Linked DNA regions of Cricetulus griseus. The protein of the gene in region 2 interacts with the protein of the main gene of each other region in a pairwise test. Links are inferred from orthologs where the notes say so. Each region holds a gene or a part of one and is shown on either strand. Other genes may lie near its edges. The genes, in order: cytochrome b-245 chaperone 1, Kash5, Bag5, Senp2, Upk1b, Rnf146 and Emd.

What was found.
Region 1: the proteins of Kash5 (region 2) and cytochrome b-245 chaperone 1 interact in binary tests that used the Homo sapiens proteins (3 or more experiments, as listed by UniProt). The two-hybrid records come from large-scale screens. The link is inferred for Cricetulus griseus from reciprocal best matches to the Homo sapiens genes KASH5 and CYBC1.
Region 3: the proteins of Kash5 (region 2) and Bag5 interact in binary tests that used the Homo sapiens proteins (3 or more experiments, as listed by UniProt). The two-hybrid records come from large-scale screens. The link is inferred for Cricetulus griseus from reciprocal best matches to the Homo sapiens genes KASH5 and BAG5.
Region 4: the proteins of Kash5 (region 2) and Senp2 interact in binary tests that used the Homo sapiens proteins (3 or more experiments, as listed by UniProt). The two-hybrid records come from large-scale screens. The link is inferred for Cricetulus griseus from reciprocal best matches to the Homo sapiens genes KASH5 and SENP2.
Region 5: the proteins of Kash5 (region 2) and Upk1b interact in binary tests that used the Homo sapiens proteins (3 or more experiments, as listed by UniProt). The two-hybrid records come from large-scale screens. The link is inferred for Cricetulus griseus from reciprocal best matches to the Homo sapiens genes KASH5 and UPK1B.
Region 6: the proteins of Kash5 (region 2) and Rnf146 interact in binary tests that used the Homo sapiens proteins (3 or more experiments, as listed by UniProt). The two-hybrid records come from large-scale screens. The link is inferred for Cricetulus griseus from reciprocal best matches to the Homo sapiens genes KASH5 and RNF146.
Region 7: the proteins of Kash5 (region 2) and Emd interact in binary tests that used the Homo sapiens proteins (3 or more experiments, as listed by UniProt). The two-hybrid records come from large-scale screens. The link is inferred for Cricetulus griseus from reciprocal best matches to the Homo sapiens genes KASH5 and EMD.

Annotation. Positions count from the first base shown.
Region 1 is NC_048600.1:133,705,601-133,709,632, reverse strand, and holds the start of cytochrome b-245 chaperone 1, read left to right. Parts: upstream 1-1,232; 5' UTR 1,233-1,476; exon of another isoform or gene 1,477-1,487; intron 1,488-2,001; 5' UTR 2,002-2,037; coding exon 2,038-2,122; intron 2,123-3,625; coding exon 3,626-3,667; intron 3,668-4,032. UniProt on the Homo sapiens protein: Functions as a chaperone necessary for a stable expression of the CYBA and CYBB subunits of the cytochrome b-245 heterodimer. Controls the phagocyte respiratory burst and is essential for innate immunity.
Region 2 is NC_048599.1:154,082,637-154,086,136, reverse strand, and holds part of Kash5 (protein KASH5), read left to right. Parts: intron 1-2,857; coding exon 2,858-2,935; intron 2,936-3,220; coding exon 3,221-3,277; intron 3,278-3,500. UniProt on the Homo sapiens protein: As a component of the LINC (LInker of Nucleoskeleton and Cytoskeleton) complex, involved in the connection between the nuclear lamina and the cytoskeleton.
Region 3 is NC_048598.1:182,322,582-182,326,837, forward strand, and holds the start of Bag5 (BAG family molecular chaperone regulator 5), read left to right. Parts: upstream 1-1,456; 5' UTR 1,457-1,629; coding exon 1,630-1,643; intron 1,644-2,836; coding exon 2,837-4,205; 3' UTR 4,206-4,256. Other genes in the region: cytochrome c oxidase assembly factor 8, read right to left, coding at 836-964. UniProt on the Homo sapiens protein: Co-chaperone for HSP/HSP70 proteins. It functions as a nucleotide-exchange factor promoting the release of ADP from HSP70, thereby activating HSP70-mediated protein refolding.
Region 4 is NC_048597.1:66,907,723-66,911,222, reverse strand, and holds part of Senp2 (sentrin-specific protease 2), read left to right. Parts: intron 1-2,589; coding exon 2,590-2,723; intron 2,724-3,500. UniProt on the Homo sapiens protein: Protease that catalyzes two essential functions in the SUMO pathway.
Region 5 is NC_048597.1:51,378,160-51,381,659, forward strand, and holds part of Upk1b (uroplakin-1b), read left to right. Parts: intron 1-596; coding exon 597-671; intron 672-1,306; coding exon 1,307-1,429; intron 1,430-3,500. UniProt on the Homo sapiens protein: Component of the asymmetric unit membrane (AUM); a highly specialized biomembrane elaborated by terminally differentiated urothelial cells.
Region 6 is NC_048595.1:247,900,041-247,904,192, reverse strand, and holds the start of Rnf146 (E3 ubiquitin-protein ligase RNF146), read left to right. Parts: upstream 1-1,352; 5' UTR 1,353-1,461; intron 1,462-2,148; exon of another isoform or gene 2,149-2,208; intron 2,209-4,152. UniProt on the Homo sapiens protein: E3 ubiquitin-protein ligase that specifically binds poly-ADP-ribosylated (PARsylated) proteins and mediates their ubiquitination and subsequent degradation. May regulate many important biological processes, such as cell survival and DNA damage response.
Region 7 is NC_048604.1:1,456,020-1,458,555, reverse strand, and holds the end of Emd (emerin), read left to right. Parts: intron 1-164; coding exon 165-298; intron 299-1,169; coding exon 1,170-1,216; intron 1,217-1,298; coding exon 1,299-1,629; 3' UTR 1,630-2,036; downstream 2,037-2,536. UniProt on the Homo sapiens protein: Stabilizes and promotes the formation of a nuclear actin cortical network. Stimulates actin polymerization in vitro by binding and stabilizing the pointed end of growing filaments. Inhibits beta-catenin activity by preventing its accumulation in the nucleus.

The DNA.
Region 1 (4,032 bases), on a different chromosome or scaffold from region 2:
AAAACCTCTTCAAATTTCATTTATTTTACATTGTTCGTAAAATTGTAAAATTCAGGTTGTCAATGTTTCCCACGCTGTCCTAGTGTAACCTCTTTATCATTTCCTTAAAACTCCAGAACCAACCAGGGGTGGTGGTGTACGCTTTTAGTCACAGCACTCGAGAGGCAGATCTCTTGGAGTTCGAGGCCAGCCTGGTCTACAGAGGGAGTTTCAGGACAGCCAGAGCTACACAGAGAAACCCTGTCTCCATAAGTCAATAAACAAACAAACATAGATAAATTGAAGGGAGCAGGTAAAAGCACCTCAAATAGATAGATGGTAGGCAGGCAGACAGAAGACAGACCGACAAAGGGAATAGGCAAAAGCACCTTGGCCAGATTTGACTTCAGACTCCATTTTACCTGTAGGGTGAGACAAAGTTCAAGCTGAGAACCTTCCAATATATGACTTACCTCCGTAAACTACAGAACTAGTCATTATGCGTCTCTAGCTCTCTAGAAACATGGCTATTACTAACAACAGAAGGAACAAATAAATTTGATTGCTTGGACTAAAAGCTTGCATTGTATTTGTTGACAGTGATGAATACTCAAGGAAGCCCCTAATCTCTAAATCCTTATTGGTGAAAATTGTAACTGTAACTTGGCAACCAATGTTTGTGATTTTTGTGCTTAAACACTTGCTTCAACTGGCATTTGGGGTGGCCGTTCAGCCCCAGAGTCTTTTCTGTGGCCCGAATGATCCATCAGCCCCCTCTCCTTTCCCCCTTCTTCTTCTTCTTTTTTTTTTTTTTTTTCTTATTTTTTGAGACAGAGCTTCTCTGCCTAGCATTGGAGGCTGTCCTGGAACTCGCTCTGTAACCCAAGCTGGCCTCGAACTCAGATCTGCCGGCTGGGAATGAAAGCGTGCGCCACCACCGCCCGGCTCCTTTTGTGCTGCCCGTGTTAAATCTTGCCTTGAGGTAACCTCTTGTGTCTACCTGGGTTGATTCACACCCTCGGACCACAACAAAATGAATAAATAACTAAACAAATAGATGGCGACCCATCGCTAAGGCTCCTAAGCCGCTGACGCCGCGCTCGGCGGGCCCCAGCTTAGACTCCGGCCCCATCGACCGAGCCCGCCCTCCAGCGCCAGGCCCCGCCCCGCGAGTGCGGAAACGGACGCACAACTCCGGAAGGCGTCGTCACTCAGGCTCCGCCCCTCGGGAGTCCCCACCTGGCTTTAGCCCGGAAGTCCTGGGGACTGAAGTCCGGAAGTTCGGGAGGCTGTCCCCTAGTTCCCTCCCGCTAATTCGGTGCGAGTCGGTTGGTGCCCGCGCAAGTGTGTCCCAAAGCTTTTCTAGTTCCGTCTCGCTGTGCTTCCCGTTCTCATGTTCGTGCCCTGTGCGGGTCACTGTTCGCGGACCTGGATCGGGCGTGTGCACTGTGCGGAGCGAGCATAACGGGCCGCTCGTGGAGCTTGTTGGTAACTGAGGTCAGAGGGAGGCAAGTTGTGTGCCTAACGGGGATTCCAGAGCATGCAGGGCACGATGCTTGATTGCACCTGGGAATCCGAGGAGCCACTCAACACTGGGGCTTTGGGCGTTGTCTCCAGGGGTCTTGCCACAGTGTCCCATTAATTCGGATGCATTTGGGCCATAGTTAGTATGACGGCAGAAACTCAGACACAGGGCACTTTCAGTTCCCTTTCTTGATGGGAAGAGGAGTTTCTGGACGATTCGGCTAAGGTGCCGGAAGCCTGAGAGTTGCTGGAGGCTAACAGAGCAACTTCAAGACGAGGATTCGGTTAAGGAAAGGGTTCCCAGATATGACTGTGGCTTGGAAGTAAGACCAGGCCTCACTTTCTGGGCTGTGTTGTCCCTGTGCCCATGTATAATTGTGAGTTGAGACAGTCTCGTGGATAAAGGCCGCTGTGGACCTTCCCCTGGCCTCCTGTTTAGACTGATGAGGTGCTGCCTGTGTGCAGTGGTTGCAGGCTTCAGCTGTGTGTCTTTCTCAGCCGGGTCTGCTGTGAGGTGAAGCCCAGGTTCCAGAGATGTACATGCAAGTGGAGACACGAACCAGCACCCGCCTCCATCTGACGAGGGCTCCAGGCATCCGGTCTTGGTCCCTGCTGGTCGGTAAGACTTATGTTTTTCCCAAGTCAAATCTTAAGTGATGGGAACAGTTTCTTCGTATTCTATTGGAGGTTCTTGTCAATACAAGACCTTGGTAAAGCATGCTTCATTCACTTTGGTGTGCCTTCCCTTTCAGAGGGCATGCAGGGTCCCCTTAACAGACATGCACTCCCAGCCTGTCTGCTTTCTTGAGGTCACTAGGTTTTCTTCCATGTGACAGGTGATCATGGGTTCACATTTCTCTTCCTCCCTGTCTCCGTCCTCCTGGACTCTGTCCCCCATCACTGCCTACCAGAAGTGTCTTGCATCTCATGAACAGCTGCACTTGTGTTGGCTGGGCTGTTCAGAGTCTGAGGTGAGGTACTGGCTGTGACTTCAGCAGCAGGTTCTCTATAGTCCTTTATGATTCGTGAAGGTCCTCATGACATTCTGCATACTGTGCTCTGTGTTGTATTATCTCTGTGTAGTCTTGTCTTTGCTCCTCATCACAGGTAGGCAATACTGACATCTGGGTCATTGCATTTTTCATTTGATTGCAGACGAGTCTGGTGAATGCCATGGATAGCATAACCTGTTTTTTTTTTATTTAATTTTTTAATTATGTAAGTGTATCTATGTATGGGTCTGTGCAGGTGCATATAGGTGCTGTGGAGTCCAAAATAGTGTTACATCTCTGGCGCTGAAGTCACACGAGGTTGTGAGTGGCCTGCGGGTGCCAAATGTTGGACTTTCTTTGGGCTGTCAGTCCACAAATAACGAAATGGAAATTTATTATGAAAGTTTGGCTTTTAGCTTAGGCTTGTCCCCAACTACCGCCTATAACTTAAACTAACCCGCATCTATTAATCTGTGTTCTGCCATGTGGCTTTTTTTCTATAAATAATTATTTAAGTTTATTTTATGTGCATTGATATAAAGGTGTCAGATTCCCCTGGAACTGGAGTTACAGACAGCTATGAATTGCCATGTGGGTGCTGGGAATTGAACCTGGGTCCTTTGGAAGAGCAGCCAGTGCTCCAACTGCTTGCTTCTCCAGCCCCCATGGCATGTGTTTTTTTCTACATCTCTTCCATTGTGTTTGTCTGACTTGGTCCAAATCTTGTTGAGGTCTCTGAGTGCCTAAATTCATCCCAAGTTCCTTTCGCTGCTCAGAAGTACTGCCTATTCTCTCCTGCATAGCTGTTGGCCATTCAGCTCTTTATTAAACTAGTCACAGTGACACATGTTCACACTATGTGATAAAATGGCCCACAACAGTGCTGAGAACTGAACTGGGTTCCTCTGCAGTAGTATATATTCTTAAACAATAAGCTATCTTTCCAGTCCCCCCCTCCCTATTTTTAAACAAACTTCTTGGCTGTGTCCCCAACCCTGCACTAGGTAGCTTCTACCTGCTGCCCCTGAACAAGCTATCCTGCTGTGAGACAGGCCTGCTTTGGGGGGCTGCAGCACAAGAAGAAGGGGAACTCTCCTTGACAGTTAACAAGATAATCCCTCTCTCCACAGGAATATTATCCACTGGCCTGGCTGCTGCCTATTATAGTGGAGGTAAAGTATGTTTTTCCCATCAGCTTCCTTGTACTTGGAAATAAACAAAAAGCAGAGAGCATTCCTAGTGTGTGTAACCTTTGGGGTGGCCTTTGCCTTGCCTTGTGTGAGAGATGACTATAGTCCATGTCCTGTACCTTAAATTTCTTCCTGTTATAAAGTACTCTCGGAAAGAAGCTCTTTAGTATTTATTTGCCTGCCACTTTGCTACAGGGAAAAATCGTGTGTCTTACCCTCCATGACAAGGTATATAGATCTACCTGTCTCCTAGGTGGACTTAGGCAGAGTTTGGGATACACATGTCACCAACGACCCAGGAAGGTACAGGAACGCAGTTGACTAAGCCTGTAACCTGAGATGAAGGA
Region 2 (3,500 bases):
TTTTTTAAGTGATGGTATGCTGAAAATGGAACCCAGGTTCTGGCATGTGTTAGGCAAGCAACACTGAGCGATATCCCCAGCCCTGGGTTTTTTGTAACAGGGTCAGATGGTGTAGTATGGACTGGATTTGAACTCCTAGTCCTTCTGCTTTAGCCAGGTAAGATCTGGGACTGTAGGCAAGTTCCTGCATACCCAGTCTCTTACCAGTTTTTTGTTTTGTTTTGTTTTTCCTGTTTGTGGTCTCATAGTCGCAGATGACTCAAGGCAGATGGGGAGGCACCAGCCCCCCCCCCCACACACACACACACTCCTGTCTCTCTATCCCTTAACCACAGCTGGAAGAGAGCCTGGGAGGATGTCTTACCTTCAGCCTGGAGCTAAGATAGTCAGCAAGGTGGGGTTGGGATAGCTGCTTCTTTAGCAGGCAGGTTTCCTTGTCACTGCCCCAGGGCATGCAATGCAAGACAGCAAGAGTCAGCCCTGTGAACCAGCCACCAGCACCCCTGCCTCCTGCCCCAGGCCCAATCTATGCCCTCAGAGGAACTTCCTGGGCATGCTAACTCCATAGCTAGAGCTATTCTCAGCTCCTTGCTGGCCTTCTGCAGCTACCCACTGAGATCTAGAGATTGAGATCTCAGGTTACAGCCGGGCCTGGTAAAGTAATGGGACACTCAGCCTCCAAAGGTCTGGCTGCTGGCTGAATCCCAAAAACCCACAGCCTGTGCTTCTGCAGAAGGCTGCAGGGTGCTTTTGGGTCCCACCAGGTGGACAGGTGTTGACACAGCACTCCCAGCTGTCCTTCCTCTGCCCTTCACCCAGCAGCAGCCCAGACTGCTGAGTGAGAGGCACTGATGACCTGGAGCAGGAACAAGGCTGGAGACCAGAAGAGGTAGCCTCTGTCTCCTAGGGCTCTGGAGAAGGATGAGGTGTGCCAGACTTCAGGTATCCGGAAACTTGGACTTTGAATTGTCATATTCTGGTTGGTTTGTTTTTTGAGACAGGGTTTCTCTGTGTAGTTTGGAACCTGTCCTGAACTCTCTCTGTAGACTAGAGTGGCCTTGAATTCACAGAGATCCATCTGCCTGCCTCTGCCTCTCCAGTGCTGGCACTTAAAAGTGTATGCTATCACCACCTGGCCTGTTTTTGATTTTTGAGACAAGGTCTTGGTATGTAGCCCAGGCTGGCCTGGTACTCAAAGCAGTCCTCCTACCTCAGCTTCCCTGGTGTTGAGATGATAGGTGTATTTCCTCACACCCAGATTTGGGCCATTTTATTCTTAGGTCCCACTGGGCAGCTGTTGTGGGTGACTATTCCTGACCTCATTGCCTCCCCTTGGAAGGCTCAGCCCAGGCACTACCTCTTCATCAAGCCCGGTGGCTGTCCCACCACCCAGCTTGGGCCTTCTCAGTGAGCCTTAGGCTAAGCACTCTCTGCTTCTCCCTTGTCTCTCCTGTGCATCTTGTGGCTAGAGCACCACTGCTTCTCAAATGTCTTTTGTCACCCCAGGGCTTCATCTGGCCCCCCAGAAAAGGTTGAGTATTAGAAGTGGCACTGGGCTAGGTGGTGGTGGCGCATGCCTTTAATCCCAGCACTGGGGAGGTAGAGGCAGGTGATCTCTGTGAATTCAAGGCCAGCCTGGTCTACAGAGTGAGTTCTAGAACAGGCTCTACAGTTACACAGAGGAAACCCTGAGGGGGGGGGGGGAAAGAGGCAGGGCTGGGCATCACACAGATGGGATGGCCTTGCCAAGTATTTTAGCATCTATTCAGTTTCCTTTGTAGAGCTGAGAGGAAGGATACTATTAATGGCTATACAGCCACAACACCGTTCTGTTACAGAGCCAATGTAATGTGGACAGTGCGAGCCCTGGGTCTCCCTGCCTGCCTGCTGGCAGGCAGGGAAAAGGGCACATGTGGCACATGTCAGCACGTGTGGGTGCATATCAGCACAGGAGTCCACATCTGGGGGCATCCAGCCTTGTGTAAAGTCTGCTGTGTGCCAGCCATAGTCTCCATGCTCATGCTATTTTGTTGCTAATTTTGAGTTATGGTTTTGCTAAAGGAAATAAGTTGTCATGAGTAGGTAACACTGGTGTTGTTCCAGGGGAAATGGGAGATCTGATTTAAAATGACTGAATTAGACAGGAAGGCAAAAGAAGAAACCAGAATATATTTATTGCAACTGGGCATGAGGATTAAGTGTAATGGCCCATACCTGCTGAAGCAGGAGGACCACAGGCTCAAAGCCAGCCCAAGCTACATATTGAGTGAGTGAGTGTGTGTGTGTGTGTGTGTGTGTGTGTGTGTGTGTGTGTGTGTGTGTGTGTGTGTGTCTGTGTGTGTGTGTGTCTGTGTGTGTGTGTCTGTGTGTGTGTGTGTGTGTGTGTGTGTGTGTGTGTGTGTGTGTGTGTGTTCTGGGCTCATTATACTTACTTTTAGTTTTGTATGTTAGGGAACATGAGTTTAAGTATCTATAAACATTTATCTTTAACATTTACATCTGGTACATGCCAGCTACAGTTGACTCTGCTCTAAATATCTGTGGTCATTAACATTCACTGGCCTGTGTTAGAATAAGAGCTTTGTGATCCAGATCATATTACTCCATCCCTCTGTGCCTGAGTTGCCTGTATCTTTAAAAATGGGGAAAGAAATGGAATCTCACATGCAAAATGCTTGGAAGTTACTGGGTTATTTATCTCACAGGGACTCCATGAATCAGTGGGGAAACCAGCTGTGGAGAAATCCCAGCTGAGGGCCCAGCAGGGTGGTGGGAGAATGGAGAAAAGACTGAGGTGCATACAGGGCATACAGCATTAGCACCGCCAACTGGTGAGCAAGGCTGATCCTCCCTCCAGAATGGGAAGCTGCTAGCAGAACGAGACGGAGTGAAGAGGCGGAGTGAGGAGCTGGCCACAGAGAAAGATGCTTTGAAGGTGCAGCATTTATTTGTCCAGGCCTGAGGACCAACCGTTCACCTCCTGCACCCAAGTCAGCACTGCAGCTGCTGAAACCAGGGTCCTGCGCCAGAGTCCACATGGCTTAGGGCTGCCCAGGCAGCTCAGCTAGAGTCCCCTTCAGAGCAGCTGATAGCCATAGCTGTCACTGGAGGCTGAGGGGAGGCCTGGCCAGGACCTGGTAGGGGCAGTAGGAGGCTGAAGGGAGATGTGGGGGCTGCTGGGAGGCTGGGTGAAGAGATAAATAGGCTCCTTCCTCGGCAGCGGCAGCTCTGTGAGTGCGAACAACTCATTTGCCAGCGTGAAGCAGTCCTCTCAGAGGTGAGGGACAGGGAGGGGACAGACCTACCCTTAGCATGCCTTCCTAGCCCCTGCCTTGTGTGGCAGGAGCCCACCCAGCTCTGAGCCCTGGACAAACAGCCCAGATAGGCCTTCTCAGGTCAGTGTGGCCTGCAGGGTCTGGAAGCAACTCTTCTCCAAGCTTTCCCAACTCAGCCAGCTCCCAATTTAGCAGCCTCCTGTCTTAGGGGACTGAACCCCAGCT
Region 3 (4,256 bases), on a different chromosome or scaffold from region 2:
TCTCTCTCTCTCTCTCTCTCTCTCTCTCTCTCTCTCTCTCTCTCTCTCTCTCTCTCTCTCTCACACACACACACACACACACACACACACACACACACACACACACACCCCAAAGTAAATGCTTGGCTGAGTTACATTTCCCCTCCCCAAACATGTTCAGACACCTGTTTCGTTTTTCCTTCTGCCCAAGGACTAAAATTCTATTTTTCTAGAGACAGAAGTGAAGGCTTGTCTGTTTCTCGTGCCAGGGAACCGAGCCAGAGGCCAGGAGCCCGGGCAACAAACCTTAACTGGAGACTAGACAGACTTCAAAAGCTGTAGTTCTAATAAAAGTGTTTCCGAGACGCAGCATAACAGAAATGGAAATTCACACAGCAGGCACATTTTGCAATTCTTAATTATCTCCCCCACACACCTTTTTTTTCCCCGCTGCGGCCCTTTAATTATTGCTTAAGCAAACCTCGCCAGCCTGTGTCGCCGGCCTGCTGGCAAATGCAGTGCGGGCAGCCATGGGCGCTGTCTAGTGCTCTCCACCTGAAGCCTCAGCCATCACTCTCACTGGCCCGGGCCTCCCTTAAACGAAGCACCGGCTCGGGAAGAAGGGCGGCGGGTTAAACAAAAGCCGAGCGCCCGGCCGCTTTCCCGGCTCGCTGCGGACGCGCCCTGCGGCCTCTGACGCTGCGCGACTGTTTACAAACAACGCGCGGCCCGAGCCGCCGCCGCCTCCAGACCGAGCCCGGGCGCCTTCGCGCAGCGGAAGTGAGGGCGCAGCGCGCCGACAGCGCTTCACGCCGGCTCCGGGGACGCCCCGCTCCCTCCCCGGGCGTCCGCTCACCGGGCTGGACGCCGCATCCCTGCGCTCCGTGCCGCGTTCCCGGGCCAGCCGGCCGCCGCCGCCGCCGCTGGACGAGGAGCGGACGAGCGGCCGGACGAGCGCTCCGCTTCCGGGCCGCAGAGCCGCCATGGCCGGCGCGCGGCGCGATCGCGACAGCGCCGCGGTCCGCTTTACGGCAGCGTCGCGCGGGCGGCGGCGGGCGGCGCGGGCGAGGCCGACCGTGCGCTTTCCCGGAGAGCGGCGGCGGGCGCGCCCGGGGCGGGGCCCGGCCGCGTTTTTCCCCGGGCTCGGAGCTGGGCGGCCGGCCCCGCGGCGGGCGCCGCCTCGGCAACGCTGCGGAAGTGCAGGCGGAGGAGCGCGCGCGATGGCGCGAGCGGCCCAGGTGAGCGCAGCGCAGCGCGGGGGGGGCGCGGGCCTCGTTCTCCCCGCCGCCGCCGCTCCCGCGCGCCCATTGTGAGGTCAGGCGGCGGCGCGTCGGGCCCGGCCGAGACGCCCCGGAGCGGCCGCCGCGGCCAGTAGCTGCCGCCGCCTCCGCCGGCCCCTTCACCGGCCGCCCGGGTCAGACCTAGCCGGGAAGGGCGAGGGGGATGCCGCTGGGGGCCCCGCTCCGGCGCCGCTCCCCGTGACGGGCCGGTCTCCCGCCTCGCCGCCCTCCGCGGCCGCCAAGACCGCCGCCGCCCGCACCTCTCCGGGCTTGGACTGAGTTCTGTGGCCGGCCCGCCGGAAGTGAGCGGTTTGACAGAAACCTGAGAGACGGAACGAGCGAGCGAGCGAGCGTGGGAAAAGCTCTAAGCATGCTTACGGGGAGGCGAGTGACCCAGCTAATAACCGCACTTGTCACGCTTTCTGGCGGGGGCCCGGGTCGGGGCAGCAATGGGAGTCGAGGGGGGCGAGGACTTCGTGGAAAGGACAAGTCCGGTTGGGCCTGGGGCAGAACGGTGGCCCGGTGAGGAGCCCCGGAGAGCGCCCGATGACTTCCACAGGGGAGCCTCCCGCCCCGCCTGCCGCTCCCAGTCGTCCTCTAGGGCGGTGGGAGCAGAGGAAACGGGGTTGACGCGGATGGTTTGGCCTCCGTGAAAGTGTGTGCGTGTGTGTGCGTGTGTGCGTGTGTGCGTGTGTGTGTGCGCGCGGCTCACTTTGATTCCCAGGCCCAGACATCCACCCCAGACTGGACAGACTTCTCCCTGTTTTCGTTTTGCTTTTGAGTCAGGATCTCACTGAGTGGCCCGGGCGGGTCTTGAACTCCTAATTCTCTTCCCTCTGCCTCCCTGGCGCCGGGCGTGTTGGCACATTGTTTTGTGAAGTGCTTTCCCGAGAGGGAGTTAACATGTCACATCTCCTCTTTCCTCGAGTATGTCTTCCAAATCTATAAATAACGACAAAACCTTCCGTCTGTGTGTTTTGGTGCTTGCCCGGGTGCCAGAGTTCAACCCTGCCCCCCTCCCCCCAGACACACCATTTCTGTGGTGTCCTTCTACTTTGTTTTTTTTGAGGCGGGGCTTCTCATGGCCCGAAGCTCCCCAATCGGAGTAGGCTAGCTGGCCAGTGAACCACAGAGTCCACGCGTCTCTGACTCCTGGCACCGGTGGTGTAAGTGAGCACCATCTTGCCTGGCTTTTACGTTTTATGTGCACCGGTGTTTTGCCTGCATGTATGTGTGTGCATCACATGTGTGCCTGGCGCCTGTAGAGGCCAAAAGAGGGGATCAGATCACCTGGAACTGGAGTTACAGGTGACCAGGAGAGGCCATGTGGGTGCTGGGAATTGAACCCAGGTCCTCTGGAGAGCATCCAGTGCTCTTAACCACTGAGCCCTCTCTAGGGCCCTTGCCCTGGCTGTCTTTGCATGTGTTCTGGAGCTCCAACTGGAGCACTTGACTGACAGCTGTCTCCATAGCCCCAATTAATCCTTTAAAAAGTATGCCTTTTAAAAGTGAGTTTAAAGTGGGTTGATCTAACTGTCCTGCAGAGACTGTAATAAGTTACTCTTGCCGTCTTTCAGTGCTTGTGAAACTGAACACAGAAGTATGGATATGGGAAACCAACACCCTTCTATTAGTAGGCTTCAGGAGATCCAAAGAGAAGTCAAGAGTATAGAGCCTCAAGTGGTTGGCTTCAGCGGCCTGGCGGATGACAAGAATTACAAGAGACTGGAGAGGATTCTGACGAAACAACTTTTTGAAATAGACTCTGTAGACACAGAAGGAAAAGGAGACATTCAGCAAGCTAGGAAGAGGGCAGCGCAGGAGACAGAAGGCCTTCTCAAAGAGTTGGAGCAGAATGCAAACCACCCACACCGGATTGAAATCCAGAACATCTTTAAGGAGGCACAGGCCCTTGTGAAAGAAAAGATCGTGCCCTTTTACAGTGGAGGCAACTGTGTGACTGACGAATTTGAGGAAGGCATCCAGGACATCATTCTGAGGCTGACGCATGTTAAAACAGGAGGGAAGATCTCTTTGCGGAAAGCAAGGTACCACACCCTAACCAAGATCTGTGCCGTGCAAGAGATCATTGAAGACTGCATGAAGAAGCAGCCTTCCCTGCCGCTCTCTGAGGATGTGCACCCTTCAGTTGCCAAGATCAATTTGGTGATGTGTGAGGTGAACAAGGCCAGGGGCACTTTGATCGCACTTCTGATGGGCGTGGACAGTACTGAGACTTGCAGGCACCTATCGTGCGTGCTGTCAGGGTTGATGGCTGATCTAGATGCTTTAGACGTGTGTGGGCGTACGGAGATCAGAAATTACCGGAGGGAGGTGGTGGAGGACATCAACAAACTACTGAAATACCTAGATTTAGAAGAGGAAGCTGACAGTACACATGCATTTGACCTGGGGCAGAACCATTCCATTCTGAAAATAGAAAAGGTGCTCAAGAGGATGCGAGAGATAAAAAATGAACTTCTCCAGGCTCAGAGCCCTCCCGAACTGTACCTGAGCTCCAAGACAGAACTTCAGGGCTTGATCGGACAGCTAGATGAAGTCAGTGTTGAGAAGAACCCCTGCATCCGGGAAGCCAGGAGAAGAGCCGTGATTGAAGTGCAGACCCTGATCACGTACCTGGACCTCAAGGAGGCCCTGGAGAAGAGGAAGCTCTTCCCTAGTGAGGAGAACCCCCCACACAAGGCTGTGTGGGATGTCCTTGGAAACCTGTCAGAGATTCAGGGTGAAGTCCTCTCGTTTGGTGGAAACCGAACTGATAAGAACTATATCCGTCTGGAGGAGCTGCTGACCAAACAGTTGCTGACCCTGGACGCTGTTGACCCCCAGGGAGAAGAGAAGTGTAAGTCTGCTAGGAAGCAGGCTGTGAAGCTGGCCCAGAACATCCTCAGCTACCTTGATCTGAAGTCCGACGAGTGGGAGTACTGATGGACCAGGAGCTGCTCCTGCTGGTTCACACTTTATCTGCTTTTAGAGAGC
Region 4 (3,500 bases), on a different chromosome or scaffold from region 2:
CTTTGGTGGTATTAGAGAAGGTTCCTGGGTTGGTTGTATATGGTAATCATCTACATCTGGCCTAAGGATCACCCCACTCCTTCATTTCTGTTGAATACAGAGTTTGATTTCCTTACTGCAAACAGCAGAAAGTAATCTGAACTGGAGATGAGCTGGGTACACAGTGTGCTGACCAGCAGATCTTCCTGTGCTGATGACTGTTGATTACGTCAATTGTGGCTAGTTTAACTCAAAGAATTGAGGGTTTTGAAATTTTTTAAATTTTGTGTATGGGTGTGGGTGGTGTGTGGGTGTGTGGCTAAGTGGTCCAAATTGGTCTCAACCCTTTGTTCCAGACTCCCAATCTCTGGAGTACATATGTGAGCCATCACACCTCAATAAAGAACTGAACTTTTAATTTTCACTCATTTAAACAAAATTGCTAGGCATCCACACCTGGCTTCTGGCTTTTACATTGGGTTACTCTGGGTACCTTTGGGGAGGAGAAGCAGAAGAGGTGAGGAAAGGAAGAAAGGAGGAGGACCTCATCATAGCAGACCCATGACTTTACAGTGAAAGCCAGAGTCTCAGGAGAACTGTGTAGTCTTGAGTCTCTTACAGGTGAGACCTGCCTTTGTGAGAGTTCAGCGGATAAGTTAACACAATATTAGGATAGTCCCCCCCCTTTTTTTTTTTTTTGGTTTTGGTTTTTCGAGACAGGGTTTCTCTGGCTTTGGAGGCTATCCTGGAACTAGCTCTTGTAGACCAGGCTGGTCTCGAACTCACAGAGATCCGCCTGCCTCTGCCTCCCGAGTGCTGGGATTAGAGGCGTGAGCCACCAACGTCTGGCGTCCCTTTTTTTTTTTTAAATAAAATTTGTAGGCAAATAAAATAGAAATGATTCTTCAACTTATTGTAGGAATAACGTGAAATTGTCTCCAAATTCCTGAAATGGAAAACAACAATTTAAAAAGTTAGAACTTCTCCTTTTTGAGACAGGGTCTCCATATGTAGCACAGGCTATCCTTAAGTTCCTATGTTGCTTAAGGCTGGTCTCCAGCTTGAGATTCACCTCATGAAGTTGGGATGTATGCTTGCTATTTTTATGTCAACTGACTGAAGCTGGAATCATTGGAGAAGAAGGAGCCTCAGTTGAGAAAATGTCACTATAAGATCTGGCTGCAAGCAAGCCTGTAGAACATTTTGTTAATTAGTGACTGATATGGGAGAGCCCAGCCCATTGTGGTCCCACTGGATTGGTTGTCCTGGGTTCTATAAGAAAGCAGGTTGAGCAAGCCATGTGGAGCAAGACAGTAGCAGCACACTCAATGGCCTATGCATCACAACTCCTGCCTCCAGATCCTTGTCCTGTGTGAGTTCCTGCCCTGACTTCTTTGAAGATGAACAGTAACGATAGAGTGTAAGCCAAATAAACCCTTTTGGTCATGGTGTTTCATCACAGTAATAGTAACCCTAACTAGGACAGGATGCTTCAGTGTCCTGAATGTTTGAATTACAAGTATGCACCATCGTAGTCAGCAAACAAGTAAATTACTTCCAGTTTGGATTCTGCTCCACCTCACCAACACATTTTCTCGATTATTGGAGCCATTCCCCTTTTTAGAGAATATTTATTTCGTATTTTATTTATATTGGAACTCTGTTGCTTTAAAGCTACCATTTTAGGCTATTTTTTTTCTTAAGGCATAAAATAATTCTTTATAATTAATTAGTAAGTACAAAGGAAACTGAGAAACACAGATGTGTAGGAAGTGAGGAGGTAGTACTATGAAAGAAGGAAGTGGAGGAGCACTGAAACACACTCCCCTTTTGTTTACTTCTCTGTTTTGTAATCTTTGGTACCAGGAAGAAGTGAACTAGAAATTGTCCAATGCATCTGGTTCAGTAGTGGGATAGCTTTTTGTCACAGATGCTTAAGAGCTGTGTGTTTTATACTGCACTCAGTCAAGATTTATGAGGGGCTTTGTAGATGCTTGTTTAAGATAATCAAATTGTCACCTGCCTGGGAAGGAATGGCAAACTGAGTAAAGGTCAGTGCTCTCTGTGTGTTTTCCATACCTAGCAGTATGTATGTTCCTTGTTCATTTATCTTTCATCTCTGTGGTTTCTTTATGCATTCTACAAAGCTTACTGCTTAAAAGCTGCTACTTGAGATAATTTCTTGGTGAATCAGTTTGTGGCTTATTAAAGTAATAGTTTAATGTTTTTATAGCAGCTGTGGTAGTTGATTAAAACAAAATTCACATGTTAGAATTCCACTTATTCAGTTTATTCATGTATGTATGATGCACATGTGTGAATGGAGTTATGCTGTAACATACCTGTGGCGGTCAGAGGACAACTTTGTGGAGTCAGTTCTGTCTTTATGTGGGTTCTGGAAATCAATCTTAGGTTGCCAGGCAGGCTTGCATAGCAAGCACTGTGACTCACCAAGCCACTTCGATGGCTCCCAAATACTTTTATATTATAGATACAGTTTTATTTCAGTGTTCAAAAGTAAGACTTTATTAAAAACTAGTAGAGGTTCTTTTCAAAACAATTAATTTTTTCTGCAAGTTAATGCTCTGTTTATAATTTGTTATTTTTTAGATTGCTTCATTCACCAAGTGAAAAACAGTCTCTACAATGCTGCAAGTTTATTTGGAGTCCCATTCCAGCTGACCACAAAACCCATGGTGTCTTCTGCTTGTAATGGAACACGGAATGTGGCCCCTTCAGGAGAGGTCAGTGGGGATGGGGCTTGGCTACTGGTCTTTTTCCTTTCCCTTTTTGATTTTTGTGTGGAGATGGAACCCAGGACCTCATACATCTTTTGTTTGTTTGTTTTTTGAGACAGGGTCTCTTTTCATAGCTCTGTGTGTCCTAGAACTCTCTATGTAGACTAGGCTGATCTCAAACTCTCAGAGATCTCCCTGCTTCTGTCTCCTGAGTTCTGGGATTAAAGGCCTGCCTGTATGGATCTTGTATATATTAAGCAGTAGTCTACTACTGAGTTACACCTCCAGCCCAACACACTGTGATGTTTATAAATTGAATTTAAAAAATATTCTCATAGATTTGGGGGGAATTAACATATAGGTTGACTTATTTCCAGAAATGATCATGCATTTATTACCTTTGATATGAAGGTCAAGAAATTAAAGGTTAAAAATTTAAGTATTTTAAAAAATATTTATAAAGAATATTAGGAGGCAGCAAAATGGCTCAATGAGTAAAGACTAAAGTAAGCTCAGGCTTGCTGCTAAGCCTGATGAACTTAGTTCAATATCCAGGACCCACACTGTAGAGAGCTAGTTTCTGCAAGTTGTCCTCTGACCTCCATGTCCACGCACATGGACACCCCCCCCCCCACACACACACACACACTCAGCAATGCAATACTTTAAAAAAGAACTTTGGCTCCCTTAGTCTGATGCCATACTCTTTTGATCCTAGTGCTCAGAAGAGTGCTGTGGGATAGTTAGCTGACCTTGGACATTCAGGACCATTGTGACAACCTA
Region 5 (3,500 bases), on a different chromosome or scaffold from region 2:
AGCATAGGCAGCACACAGAGAGCTCTGCTCTGCCCTCACCAGAGCTGCTATCACAAGGACATGGGTTTGTGACAGATCACCAGTAAGTCTCCATGCCTGAAGGTTGCCTGCTTGTTACAGATGAGCCTGAGTAGGAAAGACACAAGGCACTAAACATGTTCTGTCATCTTTCCCTAGCTTCTGTAGTTCTACATCTCCAGCAATCCATGAAGAAAATGATTCCCACTTAGAAGGGATTTACAATGTAAGGCGTCATGTATAAAGCACTAAGGCCACTGAGCATGTGTGTGTACACGAAAACTCTGAAACACCCACACATTCCTTCATTGCTTATATTAGCTCCACCAAGTTAAAATAGAAATTCATGATGCTGGATGAGAAAGTGCTAAGTTGAATGGCCATGTCTCTAGAGATAAGCAGAGAACTGAGCTGACACTCATGTACCAGCCCCGTTCCAAGAGATCCAGCTGATCCAAGAGAGTTTGTACTACATAAGTGGCTTGTATAGCACATTCAGAGGAATGTGCTTAAATCTCACAGCAATCACGTGGTGAGTTTCAGTTGTAATTCTCTGTTCTCGTCTGTTTCCTTCCCAGTACTTCATTATGATGTTTATAGTGTATGGTTTTGAAGTGGCATCTTGTATCACAGCAGCGACACAACGAGACTTTGTGAGTATAGTCCCCAAAGCACAGAACAAAAATGATAATAGCACTGGCACCGTAGCAACTGACATGCATTAAGTCCTTGCTGTGTGCTGGTCATGCTAATATGCACACTATTAATACGAGTGCAGTTTTACTTAATACTCAGAAACCTCAAATGGGAAGTATTGCTAACTTAAAAGAGAGAGGAGGTTCCTTGGGTGGGAAGTGGGGGCGGGGGCATTAAAAGCAAAGAACATTATTTAAAGATAAGCAACTGACAGGTGACAGCAAGACTTCTGATCCCAGCAAGCCTGGTTCCCAATGCCCAACCTGTGATACTAACATTGTTCATCACGCGACCACGCTACAGCCTTCCTGCATGTTCTGCCTCGTGGAAGACACAATCCTGAATCTTTCTTGTTCCATTTCTCACCATTTCCTTAATCTATTCCATCTTAAAATGCTTGTCTATCCTTGGCATGCAGTGGTCTCTTCTATGGAAACCCAAAGTAGCCCCAGCCAAATGAGCTTGGTGCCCGAGGTTAGCTTCCCTCCATGAGGATGTTCAGTGTCCTTGACAACCAGCTCTGCAGAAGACTTTGCCTTTCTTGGGAGCAGGTGTGCTGACACTCCATCTTGTGTCGTCCCCATCCCTGCAGTTCACAGCCAACCTCTTCCTGAAGCAGATGCTGGTGAGGTATCAAAACAACAGTCCCCCAACCAATGATGACGAATGGAAAAACAATGGTGTTACCAAGACCTGGGATAGGCTCATGCTCCAGGTAAGATGTGTGGTTCTGCGGTGATCCAAAGCACATCTGAACCAGTAAGAACCTGAATGTGGGTGGGAGTGAGGTCAGTGCCTCCAAGGGCTTCCTTCAGTTAGAGACTTGTTCTTGGCTGGGTCAGCAATGCCTCTTGTTTACTGGCGAGGGTGCGGAAGGGGAATGGGAAACACTTGACTCAGTGAGGCCTCTGGATTCATACTTGATATCAAGCTATAATGCTGATTAGCCTGCCTTTACAGAGTGTATGTTAGAAACTTTAGATTCATAGTATGTTCTGCCTCTTACAATGTTAGGTCTCCCTTACATTAACAGGAAAAGGGGACTTTTCTCCCCCACAGCAAACTCAAATAGTGGTATGTGCCTGTCTCACCTTTGTATATCTCCTATGAAGAATTCTGCTATGTATCAGAAGATATGTTTGGATTTAATCACAATTTTGAGTGCACATCATTCCATACATCCAAACCTATTCCAAATACCATCAGAACCCCTAGTCTTCCATAATATTGCCCCATTTTATCTTTTGTGTATAATATGAGTCAACTCTTCATTGGCCCCAGCACACACACACACACACACCTCTCCCACACAATTCCCTCTCTCTCTCTCTCTCTCTCTCTTTCTCTCTCTCTCTCTCTCACACACACACACACACACACACACACACACACACCTCTCACACACACACATTCTCTCTCTCTCATACACACACACATAACTCTCACACACACAGTCTCTCTCTCTCTCTTTCTCCCCCCCACACACATTCTTTCTCTCTTTCTCCCCCCTTTCTCTCTCTCTCTCACACACACACATTCTCATGTACACACACTCACACATATACCAACCTTTCTACTCCTTTCAACTCTCCCTGCTTCACTAGAAACCTGGCTGCCTCCTAGTTTCCCTTATCTGTCCTCTTATGCTCATGCGCCCTAAGACCTAGAAATTGGCTAGGCTGCATGGCTTCTCTATTCTCTCTCCCCTTGAATCCTTTCTTGTTTAAACACTTGAAGTTTGTGCCATCAGCCTGTAATCTCTTTATTGTGGCTTTTTACCAAACACCTTCCAGTCACTGCCCAGATTTCACTGGGGATTTCAGTATCACCAACTATGTCCTCGTCATTCATGTTCTCAGCATCCTGCCTTGGACAAGGCTTCAAAAACCACATAGACACTTGGACAACACCTGTTCTCTCTTCTGCACCCCACAGATCTCCTCCCCTCATCTCAAGACACCGTCTTCCACGGCCACAGCCAGCATGCCGTCACCAATAACTATGCCACCCACTTTCTGACAACCTTCTATAATTTCTTTCATTTGCCCCCAATATCCTCATTTCATCATTTTATTCCATTAGAATAAATGATCAATTTATTTGTCTAGTTTAATTCTCTAGTTAATTGTCCATGTTTTCCTTTCCTATCACCCTTTCATGCTCTCTTCTTGCCATCACTCTCTTTGGTCCTCTCCTTTACTCCATTGTGTGTCTATTTTCACCAGTCTTTCCTACCCAGTCCCTCCAGAAGTGAATACAGTTTTTGTCCACTCCTCCCCTAAGGGCTAGATATTACTGAGGAAAGTCCCCCAGTTGTGCTAATTTAAATTTATGACTCTAAAGCTCAAATGGGCATTCTCTGTTTCCTGGTATATATTTTTTTAAATCTGCTTTGTCACTATTGCATAGATTTTCCTTTTTCCACCTCTGCCAAATTCCTCCCACCCCTCAGCCTCAGCAATAGCTGCACCTCTTAAGCAATGCCTTAAGAATATAGAAGCAATCAGATGGAGTCCATTTCACCTCTGCCCATCCACTATCTGCAGCGAAGCCTCTTCACTAGTGACAAACAGATTGCCCCAACCCAAGTCCTTGGCTTCCATCTGAGTTCCTCTGCCTTTCTTCAGCCTACTTGGCTCTGACTCACCAGTTCTCTCTAATGTCAGCCTACAAGAACATCTTCAAGAACTTTTGTCCAGTGTTCACCCATTATTCTGCTCCACTACTGTTCTGTTCCATGGCAAATCTCAGAAGAGAAACCTCTGCCTAATGTTTCCATTTTCACA
Region 6 (4,152 bases), on a different chromosome or scaffold from region 2:
ACGTATATGGAAGATGCTGTGAACTGATTGGCTGACTAAACTTTGTAATAGTGGTATAGGAAAATGCTGCAAACAAGAGCCAAATATTTGTTCCGCCCCCACATAGTCGCCATTTACTCTTAATCCCTGTATCATCTGAATTAACATCTTTCTGACTGGAATACAACGTTGAAACCTAGCTGGCCAGTAGCTTCCTTTTTTATTCCCCGTACCCAGTGTGGTACTGGGGATTGGATCCAGATGCTCAAGCATGATAGGCAAACACCCTACCACTAGATACCTAGTTCGTTTTCAATTATAAAACCAACGTTATAGCACCGAAACCTAAACAATATGCTCTGTCACAGTCGCCCAGCTACCCGATGGACTACCCCTACCAAAATATTTGATAATACATTGACGTATAATCTTCCCTTTTTGTGGCTATACAAAGTTCATGTAATAATATTTCCTAGAACAACAGACTGAGTAGCCCGAATCCATGCTCGGGATTCAGTTACTCATGGCTGTCTCCACATGAATTCTTCCTCCTTTCCCTTAAGAGCAGAGGCTGTGCTTTGTAGCTATCATATAAGCACCCGAAACATTTACAGTCCTGGCATTGAGACAGTTAATAAACCTCAAAATGCAACATTGTTGCAAGCACAATGCAACAGTTACAGGAGGCGGAAATACTTTCAAAGGTGACGAGGCCCCGCTAATCCACCTAGTTTAACTACAACTTGAGAAAACTCACTCAGCTCTGTAAAAGACCATGTGTGGGTAAAAACGAACGACTAGATTTTGATGTTTAAAACTGTATGCTTGCCATCAAATGAATCGGCAAAACTTACTCTAGATTCTTAAGTCGATTGATTTCCTCTTCTAGCTTCCTAGGCTGTTAGGGTACAAAAGACTTGTTGAGACCCCCAACACGTCCCCTCCCCCATTAAATTTCCTAGCCATTTGTGAGTGAATAAACTGGAGCATTCCAGGGGACCATCCAGTCCACGCCGAGTCTTTGCAGATGTCTTCTTGATAAGGAACAAGCAGTTAAGGACACTTCAATTGGAAACTTAGGGCTTGGCCCAAGGGCTTCTTGGGGTCAGAAGGCTGGATTTCAGGAGAGCTCCTCTTCCTGGTCCCGGATGTCTAGCTCCCTCGCTCAGTGCTCTCTGGTGGCACCCCACAGTGTCAGAGCCAGGTGGTGATAAGGTGCACAAAGAGCATGGGAGGGATCGCGGCCAGAGAGCCGCCCCGCCGCGGGGAAGGGCAAGAGAGGTCTGCAGGCAGAGCGTGCACCGCCCGCCCGCCAGCCTCCGGCGCCGCGCGCGCGCTCGCCGTGGGGGCGTGGCTTCCGTCGGCGCGGCCCCGCCCCCTCGAGCGCCGGGCGTCACGTGGCGGCCGCGCGCGTCCCCGTCCGCTGCGGGCTCCGAAGCGGAGGAGAAGAGGCTGCGAGGTGGCTGCGGCGGCGGCCGAGAGGTGGGCACCGGCGGGACCGGTGGGGAGCGCGTGTGTCCGAGGGCTGCGGGGCCTCGGCGGGTGGCGCTGCGACCGCGCTGGCTGCGGGGCGGCGCCTGGAGTGGCGGCGAGCGGCGGCGGGTCGGGGCCGGTAGGACAGGGACGCCCTTGGCCAGCGCGGCCCGGACGGGCGCGCGGAGGGAGGCGAGCTGGCGCAGCCCGGAGCGTGACGGGCGCGGCCCCGGCCATTACTACGCAGGCCGGGCTGCGGGCAGCGCCGCGGGGCTCGGCCGGGCTGCGGGCAGCCACGGGCTGCATTCTGTCTGCCGTCTGCGGTGCTGCTGCTGCTGCTGCTGCTGTGCTGTGCTGTGCTGTGCTGTGCTGCTAGCCTGCCCAGCGCCCGGAGCCGTCCCTCCTCCTCGCGCTGGCGGAAGCCGCCGAGTGTTCTTGTTTTGATGGCTCCCAAAACCTGAAACCACCCCGAGGTGTCGGAATACGCGTCGGGGCCTCCCTACCCGGGTGCATCCGAAGATCCCCGTTTCGTTTGTCGCTTTGTTCTGGTTGCTGGGTGTGGAGTTCTCTCCCTTGCCCTCCACCCCATCTAGGAGTGCACGGGATCCTCATTGTTCTGGCTGTCTTATTTTCCTGAGCGGTGTTGTTTTTATTATTATTTTTTTCTTCTTCTTTTTTTTTTTTTTTTCTTTTAAGAGAGAAAGGCATGGTTACGTTGTTTTTGAGGATATGGAAATGGAATCGTCCTCTACTTAGGTAAGAGATTCCGGACTGTGAGTTAGCACACGCATTCTGACAGCTATATTTTGTCTTTTCTCCGGGTGCTGTTTAAGCACTTCTCAAGTTTTCAACATTTTGGGGTTTTTGTTTTGTTTTTGTTGTTTGTTTGTTTTTTAACAGTACCGAAATACTTGACAAGAACTTAGGGAAGAAGAAAGTCAAAGGAGATAGAAAAGGCTTTGTTCATTGATTGACATTTCAGGTGCTAGGGTGTGTTCACCCCCTCCCGCCGTGTGTTTGTGTGTGTGTGTGTGTGTGTGTGTGTGTGTCTGCCTTCCTTGTTTTGTAAACGGGATGTGCACCTGGAACTTGGCTATTGAAAGTTGTATATTGTCATCGAATTTGAGCATGTAGAACATTTCAGTAAATGACCTATATTAGACTTTTTAAAGGACATGGCATATTGAAAACAAATGAAGGAAATGACCCATACAAACTAGCAGCAAAGCTCCTGGGTGCTGTGAAAACACATGAAAATAGGTCACTTAAATCTCATTTTTAAAGAGAAAACTCGAGAGTGACTGCCACACTAAAGGAGTTTGGGATGTGTTTGGGTCTTGGATATGATACAGTGGAACACTTGGGTTTATGTCTCAAATGGGCCTATGTAATGTGGGCAGAATGAAAACCCTTGTGCTTAAATGTTTGAAGATTTCTGTTTTGCTGGTGAAGAACTGAGTAGAGTTGTAATCATGGGAAAACATCCCAAATAGCTGGTCATTAGATAAGAGGAATGCAAAAAAAAAAAAAAAAAATTCTTTTGGGAGACTCGTCAAGTGATAAGAGTCACTTTTGCATTGTTTTCTTTTTTGTTTTTAAAGGATTCAAGATAATTCCTTGACCTGAAAAAACATAATAGGAAGAACTTTTTCATATTCATCTGTTTACGACACATTTTCTGTTAGCCATATATGTGCTTGACGGATTTAACCAGTTGTTACTGATTCTTACAAATATTTTCCTGCAAGAATTAGAGGTAGAAGGTACTGAGTCTTTTTTCTGTCCTCTTGCCCAGTTGGGTTCTTGATAACAGAGGGAATTTGTGGAACTGTTGGCCGGATTAGAAACAGTCTTTCTGAGGATAGACACTATGTCTACACTGGTGTACAGCCTCCTTTGCTAATTTGTACTCTCTCATTCACCTTAGTTAATTAATACAAAGCCTGTTGTTAAAGGCCTCTTAATTAAAACATTTAAAATTGTAGAATCACAGAGGAGAGGGTGAAGCAACAAATACGTAGTGATGACTTGACCAAGGTCTCACATCTTAATTAATAAGAGGACTTTGTTATTTACATAATGGTTGCTGGCCATGAAACCTGATTGATGAGATTAAAGTGTCTGTTGACATTCATATTTCCTGAGTTATTGAAGTAAATGCAAAACCCACTTCGAAGGGAAGAAATTTGAAGATTTACACCTAAATATGAAGACTGTGAAGGCAGTCGGTAGTCATAGGATGATATTGTTTACATTTAACTGAAATTGAGTTTTGACAGAACACTTGTTTCCAATTCGACTTAGCCCTTTTTTTGAAAGCTGATGTGATGAAGTACAAAAGTTACATGCCTGTGAATTTGGGAATCTTTTTTAAGAAATTTCAAGATGTGTGTGTTAAATCCCACCTGACCTCTGCTCTCTTTTCCTGTGTTTATAATAGATACACATGTAGGTAAACTTGTATACAGAGGGAGGTTTGAAGTAGTACCCCATCATTGACACCTTTTTTATACAATATATCCTGTTTTGTGTATTTTGAATAAAGAGTAAACTGTTTCTTTAATTCTTTAAATAGGGAAAACAGAAAGTGTTCAAGCATATATAATTTGATATTTATGTTTTTAATTATGTTTTATATATTCTTGTTTTTCTTTTATTTTTTAAAGGTCAATATTTTATTCAAGTCGGTTATCTAGGGAC
Region 7 (2,536 bases), on a different chromosome or scaffold from region 2:
ACAGGTGTGGGGTGGGTCCTTTATCAGGGAATTTGGGCACAGGGAAACCTAAGACTTCACCCCAGTTCTCAATGGCTCTAGAGTGGAGAAACTGTCACAGCACACACACAGAATTTGGGGCCATGAGGTCACTTTCTCCTTTACCACTGTTTTTCCTTCCCAAGAATATAATGACGACTACTATGAGGAGAGTTATTTGACCACCAGGACATATGGGGAGCCCGAGTCTGTGGGTATGTCCAAGAGCTTTCGCCAGCCAGGGACCTCACTTGCAGATACCCACACCTTCCATCACCAGGTGAGTTGACTGGCAGCATATCTGGATGTAGTCTGAGAGGATCCTAACTGGGTCTGGATAAGTCCAAGGAGATATTAGGTACAGAGAGTAGTCCTTAGGCGGTCAAATAGGGTTAGGGTCGGCATACAGCTGTTTGGGTCAGAGTTCTACTTTGGGGCCTCCAAAACTGAAGATTTAATTACTTTGCCAGGCAGTGATGGCACATACCTTTAATCCTATCACTGGAGAGTCAGATGTAGTCAGATTTCTATTAACTTGACGCCAGCCTGGTCTACAGAGTGAGTTCTAGGACACCCAGAGCTACAAAGACAAACCCTATCTCAAAAAGAAACAAAACATTAATTATGTTTATGTGTCTGGGATAGTATGCATGAGTGTTGGTGCATTTTTAAAAAGTCTTAAAAAAAAATAAAAACCAGAAACCCAAGATAAAGTTGCATGACATTTTTAAAAGTTCATTTGTCCCATCATCTCTCTTTTCTTAATACAAATTTTATTCTGTAGCTGGAGCTACAGGTGGTTGTAAACTCCCTGGTGGTGAGTGCTGGACACTGAACTCAAGTATCCAGCCGATCAAGTATCCAGTCTACAAACTGTTTTGATCAGAGCACATGTAGCATTCTTTGCACTCTAGTCTGGGATCTAGTTTTAAGCCTTCTGAGAATAAGGGGGAATAAAAGGATGCTGAGACAGAGTTGACAGGTATAGTCACTGAGTAGCAAGGCTCCACAGGTAAAAAGGCCACAGATCAGAATCGTTCTGGAGGGAGGGGGCAATGGTCTGGCTTCTAGGGTATGATTAGAGTAGGCTGGTCAGAGACATTTTTGGGAAACCACCCTTCCCCCAATTCCTAACCCCTGTTGTCTTGCAGGTTCGTGATGATATTTTCTCTTCTTCAGAAGAGGAGGGCAAGGATAGGTGAGTAGTGAACACACATAAGGACAGGGACAGGTTTGGGCCTCAGGCTCTCCTGCCCACTTGTTTCCTTCTTTTGCCACAGGGAACGCCCCATCTATGGCCGAGACAGTGTCTACCAGAGCATTGCACACTACCGTCCCATTTCCAACGTCTCCAGGAGCTCCCTGGGCTTGTCCTATTATCCTACATCCTCCACCTCTTCTGTGTCCTCTTCTTCATCTTCTCCCTCTTCATGGCTTACCCGACGTGCCATCAGGCCAGAAAAGCAGGCTCCTATTGCTGCTCTGGGCCAGGATCGTCAGGTCCCACTCTGGGGCCAGCTATTGCTCTTCCTGGTCTTTGCTGCCTTTCTGCTCTTTGTTTACTACTCCATACAAGCTGAAGAAGGCAACCCTTTCTGGATGGATCCCTGAGAGTATTGGTTTCTGAGCAGCTCTTAACAAGAGTTTTGGCTGATTGCCTTATCAGTGTTTGCTGGGGGTAGGGTGGGTGAGGGCTTTTTATGTGTTCTTTAAGGGGTTCAGGGCCTAGCCTAGGGCAGTGCTTATCTCCCACCTCCTCCTGCCAAGAAGGCAGCAAATGCTGGCCTTCCACAACCCATTGGGCCCATATGTACCTTCCTCTGGAGCCTCCTAGTCCTATTGCTTCTGACCCTTAGGGCTCCAGGAGATAAGACCCCACTTCTTTAGAGGAAAACTTGGTGGAGGTGATGGTAGTTGTCATGCATGCCTGTTTGTTGTCACCCCTTTTTAGGGTGTATTAACCAAAGGCCACCCTGGCTTTGTTTTTGTGGACACAATAAAAAACACATTTATTTTTACTTTGTTGGCTCTTCCTACTGGGGTGGGAGTTGGGCTACTGTGGCACAAGTGCTTAGTCTTGGGTCTCAAAAATCACTGACTTTAACCTTTGGTTCTACATTTTAGTTTGTTCTTGGGGAAGGGATCCAGTGTTACCCAAAGATAAGTCTATGTTTTCGTTGTGGGTTTTATTTCTGGGCTCACTCCCTGAAGCACTTAACAACTACTTACAAAATAACTACCATGTAACCAAATGTGCCCATGGGAAATTCAGGCAAAACTGCATTATGATGATACATGCAGGCACTTTAGCCAGGAGAGGCTCATGCCAATATGTGAAGTTACAAGGTTAGAAAAGAAATGAGGCATCTTGCCAGTGGATTTTTTGCTCAGCTCCTGGGATTGATAGTTATTTGATAGCATGGGGGTAGATAGAAAAACTGCAGGATACTCATCCTAATTCTTTGCCTGTTTATTGTTGCTCAGTTTCCAGGTCTTCTGTCCTGGATACATATTACAT